Linked DNA regions of Schizosaccharomyces pombe. The protein of the gene in region 3 interacts with the protein of the main gene of each other region in a biochemical or structural test. Each region holds a gene or a part of one and is shown on either strand. Other genes may lie near its edges.

Region 1 (4,494 bases), on a different chromosome or scaffold from region 3:
ATCAACTTTAGCGTTAACTGATGCAAAGCAAGACCCTGATTCTCCTCTAGAAGGACAGAAGATATAAAATCTACTAATTTAGTGTTTACATAAGTGACATCTGAAACCGGGGATGTTGATGCATTTTCGAAATCTCCAGGTGATGTTAAGATATCACCATCGTCCTGCTTCAGTGGGATAAAGGAATACTCGACTTGTTGCTTCGATTTCTCATTTTGAATTTCTAAAGCAGATAGTAATGTCTCCACATTATCATCCTTTTTAAATACTTTTAATTTTTTTTCTGTGGGAATTGGTTTTGCTGATGTTTCATCCTTAAAATCATAATCTTCATAAACTCTTTTATTCGCCTGGCTGTCCGATGTTAAATTCGACAATTGCTCTTCAAACTCAGTCCCTTTAAATATCACTTCAGGAAGTTCAGACAACATTTGGTTTTTTTTTATATGTAAAAAGCGATTATATTGCAAATCGCGACTTAGTTAGATGTTGGCTGCTTCTGCTTGCTATACAAACTCATTTTATTACTCTTTTTTTAGGTGCCACAGGCTCGTCGTTATTCGATTACCGTATTAGTGTTCATGTTTACGCATTTCCTTCTATTAGCGCTATTAAGAACTTAAAGTATTTTACAGGAACAGCAGATACTCAGTTCCTTTAAACTCCATAGTATCATAATCGTCTAATTTTCGAATGGAATCAATACTTTTTAAGAACTGTCGATATACGCTCTTCAGACTAAAACCAAATTATTTCAATTTTTAAAAGATTATTATTATTATTACACGATCATGAAAAAATGAATTATACAAAGCTATACAGAACATTGTACCGATTTGGCCACCAGTCCTGAAGCTAGAAGATTTAATGAAGCAATGCTCAACTAATGTTTAATGATAAACACAGAGGAAAACAAGTAGTATCGCGAAGACACTTGCACGCACTTTTAAGAGCACACATTCATCAACTGCAGGTTTTCAAATAAGATACGCAATTTCAGCCTCTATAGTTTTCTTGAATAAAGCTGTGTTGCGCCGTAAAAGAAGAAACTCACAGATCAGTTTCTGATTTTGAAGAAAAAACTTTTCAAAGGATGTCTCTATCATCTGCATCATATAAAAATACTCATAAATGATGACTTACAGTGAAGGGGATTCTCCGGAAAGCTTTTTAAGGGTTTAATGTTAAAGATCAAAAAATAACCTGACCCCGACTAAGGTCTTTTACCCAACAATACCCATGAACATTGACACAAAACTGTGTGATAACTGTTGACATGCCTTAATGTTTTCGAAATTCAGACAATACTGGATAAATGGCTTCAAAAGCTTGGTAAATTTCCTCACGGACTTTCGCACCAGTTAAAACAATTTTACCAGAAACAAAAATCAATAGAACAACTTTTGGTTTTACCATGCGATAAATCAAACCGGGAAACAACTCAGGCTCATACTAAAAAAGAACAGTTAGATACTTATTCGTCTTTTAACAGCAACAACATCTTTAAAGATGATGAACTTACAGATGAGAAAGTACCGTGGGAGTAAGCCAAACCTTCCAAACGAATTGGAAATTTAACATCGCAACTTCCTACAATGTTCTGAATCTTAAAATCCGTGAACTTGGCATTAAAACCGAGTTTTTGGATGATACGCGCATACTTTCTAGACGCGAGCTTGGAGTCATCCTCGGATTTGCCACCCAAAACAACCATTTTACCAGACGCGAAAATCAATGCAGTAGACTTGGGTTCACGGATACGCATAATAACAGCGGCAAAACGCTATGTTTGGTCAATAACAGACCTCAAACAAAATTAAAAGGGTTTAACGTACTTTTGGGTTGTATTCTGCATTACGTGCATGTAGCGCAATAGTTTTGAGATCAAGACGACAGCTATTTTAAGAGGATTATTAGTAATAAGGTCTAATTTGCTAACTCAATGGAAAATTTTGTTAACGAGACGTATCATCCCCTGCGGTCATTGCCTTCGGAAATCTCGTGACATGGTAGTTAAATATAAACAAAACAAAAATCAAATAACCATTAACAATCGCTCTTACCCAAACGCCATGTCTATACAAAAGATTTCCGATGAACTCACCGCGACGGCAATACGCCTTGTTCCCTATCCAAAGAGGCACGACTTACTCTAAGTTTACAGTAGCAACAATATTTTGAAGGGTTGGAACAATGCCAGATACACCTTCATTTTTTGAAACTTCTGCATCCCCGGAATCTGCCGTCTCATTTGTAGCCTCGTTATTGGCATTGGGGAGAACAGGGAACGTTAAAGAAGAGTTATTCATAAAGGCACTCGCTTGCGAGGCCGTGGTGGGTAAAGCGAAATCCATTGCAGTAAATCAATTATTATTTTACGCTACTCGTAGAATTGCGTTATCCCACCCCTAATGGAAAGCCTGCAGGTGACGGCTGCTGCACTTATTTATATATACCCGATCTTTCAGGGTTAGGGTTTCTGAGTGTTGTGAAACCGCGGCGATGGCTGAATAGTAAAGAAATGCGCGATTTTTTATTTATAAAATACGTTTTTACAACTTTCTTATTAGCTTCTATGTATAAATTTCTCGTTTACAAAAAAAAGTCCTTCAAACGCAATACGAACGAGATATAGACGAAAATGAGTATAGGAAGTGCAAAATAAAGTACCGCATTTAGTCTAGAAAAGCTGAATCAAGCTTTGGTATAAAATTTGAACAAAGGCACTAGCTATCTAACCAAGTAGTTGGTTGCTGGCGATGTAAATTTTTTGTGTGCGCAGGTGGAAGGATGGTACGGAGTGAGAGCTGCGTCATATGCCCTTTCAGCAGTCTCGACGCTAACGCTTCACTGTATTTTGTTATATGGATTAACGCTGTTGGTCGTGTCGTAGTTTTTATAAACAAAGGAGAGGTGTTTATTCTCACGTGTAGTAAATAAAAAAAATATACTATAAACAAACATTGAGGGGAAAATAATCTAAGTTCAAAAAAGAAACTGAAGCATTTTCTTTTATTTTTTAAAGTCTTAACATCCTGAAAATCTGTAATTAGCGTTTCACGAATATAGTATTCCATCGCTACTTGTTATTTTATCATTCAATTAATAAAATGTGAAATTGCAGAAAGAAAATATAAATCGATCTGAGTTTTTTTTTTTTTTTTTTTTTTTTTTTTTAATTAAAGAAAACAAAAACAAATCATTAATCCCTCAAGTCTTTATAAGGGTTTTCTTAAACTATAAAAGAAGTATTTGTTTTAAACGGTATCCAAGAGACGATAAACCATTGTTAGTCTTTTGAGATAAATGTCATTCTTTGTTATAATAACCTCCTGATGCATATTAATAAATTGTTCTAAAATATGATTTCAAAGTTTCTTTGTTAGTAATTTAAAGTATCCTTTACAGAAAGAAATAAGATAACATGATATTTACTTTTTGAAATGTAAAATTCAAATTTTTATCTAATATCAATAACTTGACAATGTCATTCAATTAAATGGCTTTAATGCAAAAACTATAGAAGATCTGTAATGAAGGCAGAAACATATGAGGACACCAGAGTTGTTTAAATATTTTCGATTCAACAAAACTAAGATTAATACGGATAAGACATTTTCAAAGCATATCAATTGGTATGCTGAGATGGAAACCAACAACTTATTTGCAATAATATCGTCAAAAAAAAAAAAAAAAAAAGATGAAATAAATCTATTGGCTACTTTACTAGTTTAATATGAGGAAAAATATAATTAGGTATTGAAATTTTGTTTTTATTTTTTGTTTGCAAAATGTTTTTGCTTGCTTAGTTCAAGTACTAACAATAACCTGTAAAATTGCGCATCAAATACTCCGTTATCTTAATTCAGGTTATCCTGCCAAATTTTTACCCAACTCAACGACAAAATAATCAAAATCACGATTTTTAAACTCGTGGCTCGTTGTTTCAATAGTTCTAGTCGCTTTTTTAATAAAAATCTAATGTCGACTAGAAATCCCGCTCAATCGCATTGGGGTGTTCCTAAAGGACAAAGAACGGAGCTCTATGTATACAACACCTTAACTCATAGCAAGGTGCCTTTTGTTTCAAATGGTTCCAACTTAACATGGTACTGCTGTGGACCTACGGTATATGATGCTAGTCATATGGGGCATGCTCGTAATTATGTGACAACTGATATCCTTCGAAGAATCTTACAATCTTATTTTGGATATAACATTACATTTGTACAAAACGTTACTGATATAGATGACAAAATTATCCTTAGAGCTCGTCAACAATATTTATTTGAAGAATATAAAAAGCAGCAAGGTACTAACAAATCCCATTCAGAAGCTCGTGAAAAGGTTACTGAGGCTTGGTTTGCATATGCCAAGAAAAATCTTCCTGAACCTCCCTCCTCGATGAGTGAATGGCCTCAATGGCTCGCATCCCATGATATTCCCACTTTAGCTATCAACAATCCCAAGTTACCCATGCATGTGGATGCTTTA
Region 2 (5,063 bases), on a different chromosome or scaffold from region 3:
GGCCATGAAGAAGTTAACTCCACAGGAGTGGTCTCAAAAAGTTTGTCACAGTATTGGCGGTCGCAGTGGAGGAAAAGGTGATACTTGCCAAGGTGTAGGTGATAAACCTCTTTCCATCGACGTTGCAGTGGAGGAAGCGATTGAGTTTTTTCAAGGGAAGTTGACGATTTAAGTTTCTACGTTATTTTGTACTCTATCTTTCATTATCTTCTACATAGGCTCAACTTTTTGTTTGTTTTATAGTCCGAGCATTTTAAAATTGCTCAACAATTTCAATCATTATACATAAACTCATCGTAGGCTTAAACGTCGAGTGTTTACTCAATGAACACTTCTTAATTTTAAGCGATAGTTTGAAAATTACAATTTCCCAGCCGCGTGTTATTGTATTATTAAGATTATGTGTAAAGCCTGAAGATCACGATTTCCTATTATTTACTGCTAGTCTGTCACGCTAATACAGCATACTTATATGTACAAGTCTGAACAAACCTACCACTGACTTCAAGAGTGAAAGGATAGGTTTATTGCAGTTCATATGAAATCGGGATTCTAAGCAAAAGCTTATGTCTATTCGAATACATACTAATAACCAAACTATTACAAAAATTTTTGCATGAATATCTATTACTATTACAGGCCATTTCTACACCATTCCTTGAGAAAAGAAAGTAGCCATCTTTATTATATTAATAAAAAAAAATAGAAGAATAAATGTCTTTAGTATGTTATGAGAGTTCGAGCTCCGGAGAAGACGATGACGAGACAATATCTGATAATCCCCGAATGTTAAAAGTCCCTAAGCTCCAAGAATCATTTCACGAACTTTATAAGAGTAAGAAGGTTTTAATGTTTTGATAACTCATATTCTTAGAAAAGCCAAAAACTTTTGATAGTCCTGAGTTTCATGAGGGTCGAATTCGTGGACAAAAGCATATTGAAGGATTGTGGTTTGTTCAAACATATTTGGAGGGTAATAAATCAATTTTTATTTAACAAAAAGTTGACAATTATCAATAGTGGATTTGAGCAAGAAAGTTAAAAAAGGCATTCGTGAGTTTTTGAATTCACAAAGTCGGTTTCAATCGCTTCTTTGCTCTGAGCATAATGTACCAAGAAGATTACATTTAAGCATATCTGAAAACTACCGCATAAATTATTCCACTAAGAACCAATTAGTGCACAAATGGGAACAATATACAAACAATTTGAATTACAGGTATACTCAGGACAAATAATCCATACTGTTGAGACTGACATATTAAAAAAGAACTTTAAAATTTCGACTGGGAAAGATGTGTCTACTATTTAATGACGAAAAAACAAGAATGTTCCTAGCTTTCGAATGTAAATTCAGTGACGAAAACTACAAAGACTTAATAAGTCATGCTAGTGACTGTATGAAAGAGTTTACAAATAGGAATTTGAGAGAGGTAAGTAAAGGTTCAAATAAGCGACAATTTTAACGCCTTCCAGGACTTTTTACTTCACATATCCTTTGCTTCATCGTTGACAAATGAAGACGAATATCAAAATTGGGTCAGTCAAGACAGAGAGTCCCATTTTTTTAAAACGATGAATGAAATTATTAATACAAAGATTCAAAAAGATCAATTTTCTGAAAGTTTTATCGTTGATAGCTTAAAGTTGTCAATTGGACATCTAATATTTACCTTTCCATTTTGTAAATAATTTATTAATTGGGGCGATAATAATATTATTACAATACTCGTTTACGAAAGAATATGCTCAGCTTCAAATCAATTGGTCTTAGGAACACAAAAAGTGATCATTAGCAATTGCATTCAGTTTTGTTACAAAGCATGCGGACTAAAACGTATGAAGGAAGAATAATTTCAAAAAAATTCCTTATTAGAAGCTTTAGTATACTCATTTTCGTCTTCTGTGATCGGATTTTGATTGCAACGTTTATCAGTTTTTTGTTACATTTCTTCTCACTAGAAAACAATATCATAACTATATTTTCACTTGTTTGGTTTATAAACTTAAGCCATATAGCGCATTAACTTGTTTATATTGCTATATTGCTTGTAACGGAGCTTAAAACACTTTGTTAATTTTCACTAAGCACTCTCTTTGCACTTGCATACACAAGACCTGCCCTTCACCAGCTAGCTTGCTAAACAAATTTTTTGGGTTCCGTTTCATATAAAGGATTTTGCATTAACATAGAGGGAGCACTCTAAGAAAAAAAAACGTGAAAGCTGAAAGGTGCTACTTACAATGAACCAGACTGAAGCGGCTCCAGTCGTCTCAGTTTCCCGGGTTTGTACGTATTGTGAAGTTCAAATTTATAAAAAAAGGATAACAAATGACTAATTAGATTTAGATGCTCATGTTAATGAGGAGATGCCCCGTGAATACTGGGACTACGAGAACATGCAGGAGGTATTTGGATATCAGGACAATTATGAAATTATTCGGAAAGTAGGAAGAGGAAAATATAGTGAAGTTTTCGAAGGATTAAATGTCTTGAACAACAGCAAATGCATCATCAAAGTCCTAAAGCCTGTAAAGTACAAGAAAATCAAGCGTGAAATAAAGATTCTACAGAACTTGGCCGGAGGTCCTAACATTATCTCACTGCTTGACATTGTCCGCGATCCAGAGGTAAGAATAAAAAAAAAAAGCTTTTTGTATTGAATCGTCTTGAAACTTGAAGGAGAAGAAATTTTGTGCTTTTCCGTCTATTGAGTTTATACGACTCTGGCTTTTGAACGTTTGATATCCATCAAACTATTGTATTTGTCGATACTAATATTTTATAGAGTAAAACACCATCTTTAATTTTTGAATTTGTTGACAATATTGATTTCCGTACATTGTACCCTACTCTTTCTGATTATGATATTCGTTATTACTCTTACGAGTTGCTAAAAGCTTTGGATTTCTGTCATTCTCGTGGTATAATGCATCGTGACGTTAAGCCTCATAATGTTATGATCGATCACAAAAAAAGGAAGTTACGGCTAATTGATTGGGGTCTGGCCGAGTTTTATCATGCTGGCATGGAATACAATGTTCGTGTAGCCAGTAGATACTTTAAGGGTCCAGAACTGTTAGTAGATTTTCGAGAATATGGTAAGTTGCATCCACTTTTGTTAAATATATTTACGTTTCTTTTTTCCTAACCAAACTTTAGATTACTCCTTGGATATTTGGTCGTTTGGTGTCATGTTTGCTGCTTTGATATTTAAAAAAGATACTTTTTTCCGTGGGCGGGACAATTATGATCAGCTAGTTAAAATTGCCAAAGTTCTGGGAACTGATGAACTTTTCGCTTACGTACAAAAATACCAGATTGTGCTGGACCGACAATACGATAATATTCTTGGTCAGTATCCCAAGCGGGACTGGTATTCTTTTGTCAACCGTGACAACAGATCGCTTGCCAATGATGAAGCAATCGATCTGTTAAATCGTTTATTACGTTATGATCATCAAGTAAGTTACCGAACCTGAAGGTTTTTACAGGATCTTATACAATCACTTATTTTTTTAAGTGGTATATACTGTATAGTTACTAACTTAGCATAGGAGCGTTTAACTTGTCAAGAAGCTATGGCCCATCCGTACTTTCAAGTACTCAAATAAGAACTGAGGGAAGGGACTATAACTCAATTATCTCTACGGACAGCCTTTTCATTACTAGTTCCCTTCATTTTCATAAAAATGAACCAAATCCAATTCTAGTTTTAATTCTGGTTCATGTTTTATTATTCTTTTCTTATTATTAGACTTGAGTATTCCTCTTCATTTACGTCGGTGATAATTTAAGCTAATATTTCTTGCCCAAACGTTATCATCTCCCACACGATTCCTCGAAACGGTTCTTGCATAAGTACATCCTACTATAATATTGCTTTCACGTGGCGGAGCCTTCCCACTACTTTTTCCCCGTACCTACTCGTTAGACACTTGGTCTACATAGTGTCTGTGTCTATTGCTTTCCCTTACTCAAATTAGAGTTTTTTTTATTTTTAAATGCTATCGGGCTTACTAAACAGGTTCCAATTCTATAGTTTTCTTTAATACTTTAAACGAGTTTTTACCTCTTTAGGTACCTAACAGCTTTATTAATAGTAAGTAACTCTGCGTATTATGCATAATGAATGCAATCTAAAGAAGCGATGGAAATGAATATGCGATATTTCATGAATGAAAAGTAAAGCCTTAATTAGAGAGCAACCTTACAAAACCTCTTATTCTGTAGCGTTAATCTTGCGCAGCTGCTCATCCTGAACTTGTTGAAGTTCAATGCTCAAAACAATTGCCTTTTGTAAATTCATTTTACTGTATTTAACACATATTAGAATTCATCATATTAAAAAAAATGATAATGTCATAAACTAGGGATGAACTTACAGGAATTCGCATTTATTCAACACTGATTCCAAATGAAACAGTATTTGCTTTTGAACCTCAGTCAGCATGCCAAAATTTGCACCAAAATCTAATTCAAAAGAATGTGTTGTGATCTTTGAATTCGGAAAAAACAACTTTACTTATCTTACTTGGTAAAGTATATTGTTTAACCAGGCAAATTTGTTAAAAAAGGAGTAGTTTACCTCTCGCTTTATGCGTATTTATGGTAAAACAAGTATAAAACACTATAACGCGGTAGCTCAATCTCTCGCTTTTAGAAAATACTTTACGCTACGATCCAAATAAATGGGTTAACTTGTGTATCGTCTACCAAAACAACACCTAAAACAGCGTGTTTTATCATTGCATTGCAACTAAGGTGAGTTTCTTTCTTCCTCTCTTGCTTTTTCATCCTTGAATGTAAATAAAATTCAATCAAGCTGAATATAAATTTAATAACAGACCACATTTGTGTACTACGTTTGTTAGTATCTCCAACATGTTACGAAGAAATCCTACGGCAATACAAATTACTGCTGAAGATGTTCTTGCATATGACGAAGAAAAGCTAAGACAAACGCTTGATTCCGAGTCAACAACAGAAGAAGCATTGCAGAAAAACGAAGAGTCAACACGTTTATCGCCTGAAAAGAAGAAAATTATTCGTGAAAGAAGGA
Region 3 (4,782 bases):
TTTACGGTAGCATCATTCGTACCTTTTCGTACGTTACGACCACGTTGAAAGTTTTCAAAGAAATTACTTTTTAAACACAAAAGAACATAAATAAAAGAGAAGTAAATATGTCAGACAGTCCAATTGAACTTATGCGGTCCACGCTTGCTGGTTTTCAAATTGCACCAGATGTGAAAACCATCTCAAACATTCAAGACATTCGCGCACAGATACAGAGCTTCAGAGAAAAAGAATTGGAAGGATCTCAAACCAAATTTAAAGGTTAGTTTTAATCTAGAAATAAACGACCATGCATTAACTGTGAATAGTGCTTTCAAGAAAATTAGAAATATCTACCCAGGCTATGGAGTCATTAAAACAAACAGCAGAGTCATCACAACACGCTGAGGAGATTTTAAGCAGGGAAAAGGAGAAATTTAGGATAGCCAAGTTGTTGAATATCACTGAGAACGAAATTATGAGTTTAGAATCTCAATTGCAGAAAATGAAGGAACAGCTACTACAACTTGAGGAACGCGAAAATACTTCTGAAGACATATGTCAGTCAGAGGAAAATGCGAATATGTTAAAGCTGAACTTTTATCATTCTTTAGGCTTCGATTTAGAAACTGCTGAGAACACTGGGAATAAAAGGGTTATAATACGTATGTCATTTGCTCATAATTTGAATTTACCTTTCAATTTTTTATCTTTAAAAAGCTTGATGATATGAAAAATTCAAGCTTTAAAATTGAACTTTAAAACTGTTTTTCGAATCTACTCACACTTTCCTAGATACCGAAAACGATTTGCAAACGGTACAAATCAGCAACAAGTATAGCCCATATTTTTATTCTAATTATTTTTGGGATTTGCTTGATGATAGTAAGGACAAAAAATAGATGGCACTATTATTTTATTTATTTATTTAATCTTGATTGTGTATACCGGTTTTTAAACATGACTCAACATAACGAATGGCCGCTATAAGAGAATCCAATTTGATATTATACAATTTGGCTACCATGATAGTAACCCGATGAGCTGTATTTTCTGTATTAGGTGAAAAAGGAAGCATTGATATATAAGCATCCTTTCGTCGTGAAAAGTCCATTTTATCAGACTCTTTAATGCCTACAGGTTTGAACACTTGTTCTAACTTTACATCTTCAGCAATGACGGATTCGTCGGTGAGTATATCTGTAGGTTGATTTTCTTGTAAATGGCTGTCTTTCGAAAGAATCGGAAATACGTTAAGAATTCCTTCTGGAATATTATTTGGGTTGTTTTCTTCGACAAACTCTTTTTCATACCATTGAAAATATTTATCCATTTCAGAGTTATTGAGCGTCAAAATGGATTGCTCGTCTATCTCGTAGAACTTGTCTTTTTCTTTCTCATTAATTTTTTGCACTTGGGATAACCACATGTTCCAGTTGGTTTTAACAGTGAACATCGAGTCTTTGTATTTGGAATTTCGAGTTTGGGCATCATCAAACCCATAACATACATTTGCTGCTACTAAGATGGTAGCGAGTAACATAACCTCCGCATCAGATAACTTTTCATGTATCGATTGAGCACTGCGTATTTTGCTTTGATAATTATCGCTAGAGGTACCTTGAAGTGAAATCTGCGAGTGAACGAGATTTAGTAAACGAGAAGCAGGTATGAAGATTTCTAAGGGAAAAAAGAAACTGTTAATAAGCTCAAAAAGTATCAATGGCTCATTAGGTGGAGGAACTTTTAGTTCGTATTTAGATACTAAAACGTCAACCAATGTCAAGACAGCGGATTGTATGCGTTGATACGTTGGATAATGAAAAGGAATTAGCATCCTTACATAGTTTTTTTGAAGCCTTTTAAATATTTTTAGAGGTATCTGTTTATACGCTCTATAATATGGAATAATATTTTTCCTTATTAAAACTTCGAGTTTATGAATGGTCAGAGGCAGTCTTAGTAAAAGACAGGCGACATAAATAAAGGCAGAAGAGTATAAAAGCCGAGGATAAGATATAGAATGCGACTGAGAAGTTTCCTTCGTTTTTCTTGAGCTCGGATCAGCTCCCGGTTGACTCTCAGGATCTATGAGATCAAAATCCGAATCTGATGATTCTGATTGCGTTGAATTTTGGTTGAGGGAAAGAAAACTAGAAGTAAATGATTCATAAGACAGGGAAAGGTAAAGCGCCCAAAGGTCACGTATCATGCCTTCTATTCTTTGGTCAAATCCGAGTTTCGTAGTTAACGCTTGACATTGAAGTTGAAGAATAATTTGAAAAGCCTGAAGATATAAGCTTCTACCAGCGGTACCATAAACAATCTCATCTTCATCTCCAGTGTCTAGATGGTTGCGAACAACCTTTCTTTTACGAGTTTGATAAAAAGTCCCTGCACCAGGTTCATCATCTTGAGCGATTTCAATTCCCTAAAATTTAACAATTTTATTAATGAACATTCATTAAAGCGCAAACCTATTAAAAACAACTTACATGTTGAGCATGACCACGACGACAAAATGTTTGACCTGCATTTTTAAAATACCAAGTACTTTTGCAGTTTCTTACAGAACAAGGCGGACCTTCAAACCAATTGCCTTCCATTGTAAAGGAACTGGATATGCAAATAGATGCAGACTTATTTAAAAGTACAAACAGTGAACTATAGACGAAGAAAAATAAGAGAACAAAACACTTAAAGGGTATTCAAGTAGGTAAGCATTTGTAAAAAGATCTGCACAGTTTCTAACGGTGTTGTTATTTATAAACTGCTATGCCAGCATTTTACCAATATTTTGGAAAGTATGAATCGACTGAAAAAACCTAACAGATTTTCTTTCAGCTGCGAAATACCGTTTATATAGTTTTGGATAAATCCTTCACAAATGTATCACAGTAGACTGTTAGTCAGTCAGTAGCGATAGGCAGTTTTTGAGATCTAACGGGCGCCACGTTAATACATATGAGTTGTAACGGCTTGGTAGATAGTGCATACATTGATTAACTATTGTGAAAAGCCATTATATAAAAACTGCAAGTCCACTCTAGATTATATATTACCTCGGGTATCCAACCTTGAGACATAAAGGTTGAAACTAGGATAAAAATTGAGGAAAGTTAAAATAGGCTGAAGAAAAGGTGCTACTGATACATTTAAAAGAGAAAATAACAGCCATCAAGCAGTTTGATACATACCCGTAGTACGAATATATAACCATAATCTAATTTATCTTAAAACTATCAGATATATAAGAAGTCTTACGTTTACAGATTCCAAAGAACATTCTATTTACAAAAATCGTTAAACAAACAATGAATATGGTAAAGGAGGAGCAAAACTTGTTTACTAAACGACCATTTTTAAAGGGAAGAGGGTTTATATTTAGGCGCTGGGAGCATCACGGCAAGCGAGAGCAATCTCTTCACCCATGGCAGAGACAACGGTAATGATTAAATCCTTACCCTCTTCAAAGCCCTCTTCAATTTCGTTGCCGAGTTCGCCTTCGGGAAGACGAACATCGTCCTTGGTAGTACCATCGGTAGTCATGAGGTTCAAGTAGCCATCATCAATGTTGACTAGTTGGTATTCGTCACGCTTGACAACAGGAACGTCCATGTTATGAGTAGAGGGAGACATATCTTCGTACTTGCGACCATTGAAGATATCAAGGGCAACAATGTGGACCTTGGCATGTCCGTGCTTACCAGTCTTAGAGGTGGACATGTCGACGATCTTGCAAGGACGGCCCTTGATGACGACGTGTCCGTTCTTACGCAAAGCAGAGCATTGCATAGGGAAGGTCAAAGAGGCACCGGCCTCACCACCCTCGAAATCGACGTGTTCTTCTTCTGCCATTGTTGGTTTATGCTCTTTCTGTATGAACATGCCCATCACTTTCCCATTTGTTAAATGTGACTACTTTTTCCATGTGAGATTGCTTTAACCCTACCCTAAAGCAACCAAACTAAGTGCAGTGAAGTAAAACGTAATACATGTTATTTGAAGTATACCTTTGCAACGTTAAAATTCGTAAAGTAACTCATCATAATTATTTGACGTATCGTTAGATTACATTAAATTGTTCAGGCTTAACACTGATGGAAGCGCCGAAACCAGGGTGATAAACAACACCTAAATTAAACTTAACCCTCCTTAACTTACCAAACTAACTATTTGCAGGATTATACCTTCCATTTGTTCTGGGATGCAGCTGTCACGTTGAGATATAACATCTATAGGTACAGTATAATAAGTCCGGCATGCAGAGAGCTTCTACCCAGGATGTTTATGATGGAAGTGGTGATGATCTAAACAAACTTGATTCTCTCAAGTCAGTGTTGAATGATGTTCTGAGCTCTTTGGAGCGATTCCAGGTGGATCTGGATGTCGCTACTAGTGATATCTACAAAGTCAGTGAGCGCTCAAACAAAATTCAAGTAAATTTAAACAATTTGAAGGCAGTGGAGTCAGCACTTGGAGCAGAGATTGATGGTGCGATTCTTCCACCTGATCTTATAAAAACCATATCTACAGGAGACATGGATCATCCCAGTTGGAATTCTGCATTAGAAAAACTAACTTCGTTTTTGGAAGGCGGAGAGGATGATTCATCTCTTGGTAACATGTTCAATTCTCTCCAAATTAACAAAGACCAGAAAAAACTTGTAGATAAGTTGAGAGATAAAGCAATTGAACGTATTAGAAACTATATAGTCGTTACTATCAAGATGTTTCGTCAAGCGTTTGTCGACGTGTTTCCAATCCGAAAGCATCGACTCATTGCAAATAAAAACTACTACC

Evidence for each region.
Region 1: the proteins of rrn7 (region 3) and tbp1 form a complex in vitro, tested with the Schizosaccharomyces pombe proteins (one study listed by BioGRID).
Region 2: the proteins of rrn7 (region 3) and cka1 form a complex in vitro, tested with the Schizosaccharomyces pombe proteins (one study listed by BioGRID).

Annotation. Positions count from the first base shown.
Region 1 is NC_003424.3:4,413,407-4,417,900, reverse strand, and holds tbp1 (TATA-binding protein (TBP)), read right to left. Parts: upstream 2,423-4,494; 5' UTR 2,355-2,422; coding exon 2,152-2,354; exon of another isoform or gene 1,897-2,151; coding exon 1,836-1,896; exon of another isoform or gene 1,784-1,835; coding exon 1,523-1,783; exon of another isoform or gene 1,453-1,522; coding exon 1,282-1,452; 3' UTR 750-1,281; downstream 1-749. Other genes in the region: SPOM_SPAC29E6.09 (uncharacterized protein), read right to left, coding at 1-431; SPOM_SPAC29E6.07 (uncharacterized protein), read right to left, coding at 2,727-3,077; SPOM_SPAC29E6.06C (cysteine--tRNA(Cys) ligase Crs1), read left to right, coding at 3,982-4,494. UniProt on the Schizosaccharomyces pombe protein: General transcription factor that functions at the core of the DNA-binding multiprotein factor TFIID.
Region 2 is NC_003424.3:2,149,910-2,154,972, forward strand, and holds cka1 (serine/threonine protein kinase Cka1), read left to right. Parts: upstream 1-2,127; 5' UTR 2,128-2,244; coding exon 2,245-2,290; exon of another isoform or gene 2,291-2,350; coding exon 2,351-2,631; exon of another isoform or gene 2,632-2,634; intron 2,635-2,789; coding exon 2,790-3,102; intron 3,103-3,163; coding exon 3,164-3,465; intron 3,466-3,558; coding exon 3,559-3,615; 3' UTR 3,616-4,314; downstream 4,315-5,063. Other genes in the region: alanine--tRNA (Ala) ligase Ala1, read left to right, coding at 1-172; 3'-5'-RNA exonuclease Mpn1, read left to right, coding at 715-835, 875-973, 1,021-1,219, 1,271-1,433, 1,477-1,692; hcn1 (anaphase-promoting complex TPR lobe accessory factor subunit Hcn1/Apc12), read left to right, coding at 4,886-5,063. UniProt on the Schizosaccharomyces pombe protein: Catalytic subunit of a constitutively active serine/threonine-protein kinase complex that phosphorylates a large number of substrates containing acidic residues C-terminal to the phosphorylated serine or threonine.
Region 3 is NC_003423.3:2,755,398-2,760,179, forward strand, and holds rrn7 (RNA polymerase I general transcription initiation factor subunit Rrn7), read right to left. Parts: upstream 2,887-4,782; 5' UTR 2,586-2,886; coding exon 2,475-2,585; exon of another isoform or gene 2,411-2,474; coding exon 908-2,410; 3' UTR 882-907; downstream 1-881. Other genes in the region: protein Spc24, read left to right, coding at 108-261, 309-644, 775-881; tif512 (putative translation elongation factor eIF5A), read right to left, coding at 3,364-3,837; GARP complex subunit Vps52, read left to right, coding at 4,242-4,782. UniProt on the Schizosaccharomyces pombe protein: Component of RNA polymerase I core factor complex (CF) that acts as a sua7/TFIIB-like factor and plays a key role in multiple steps during transcription initiation such as pre-initiation complex (PIC) assembly and postpolymerase recruitment events in polymerase I (Pol I) transcription.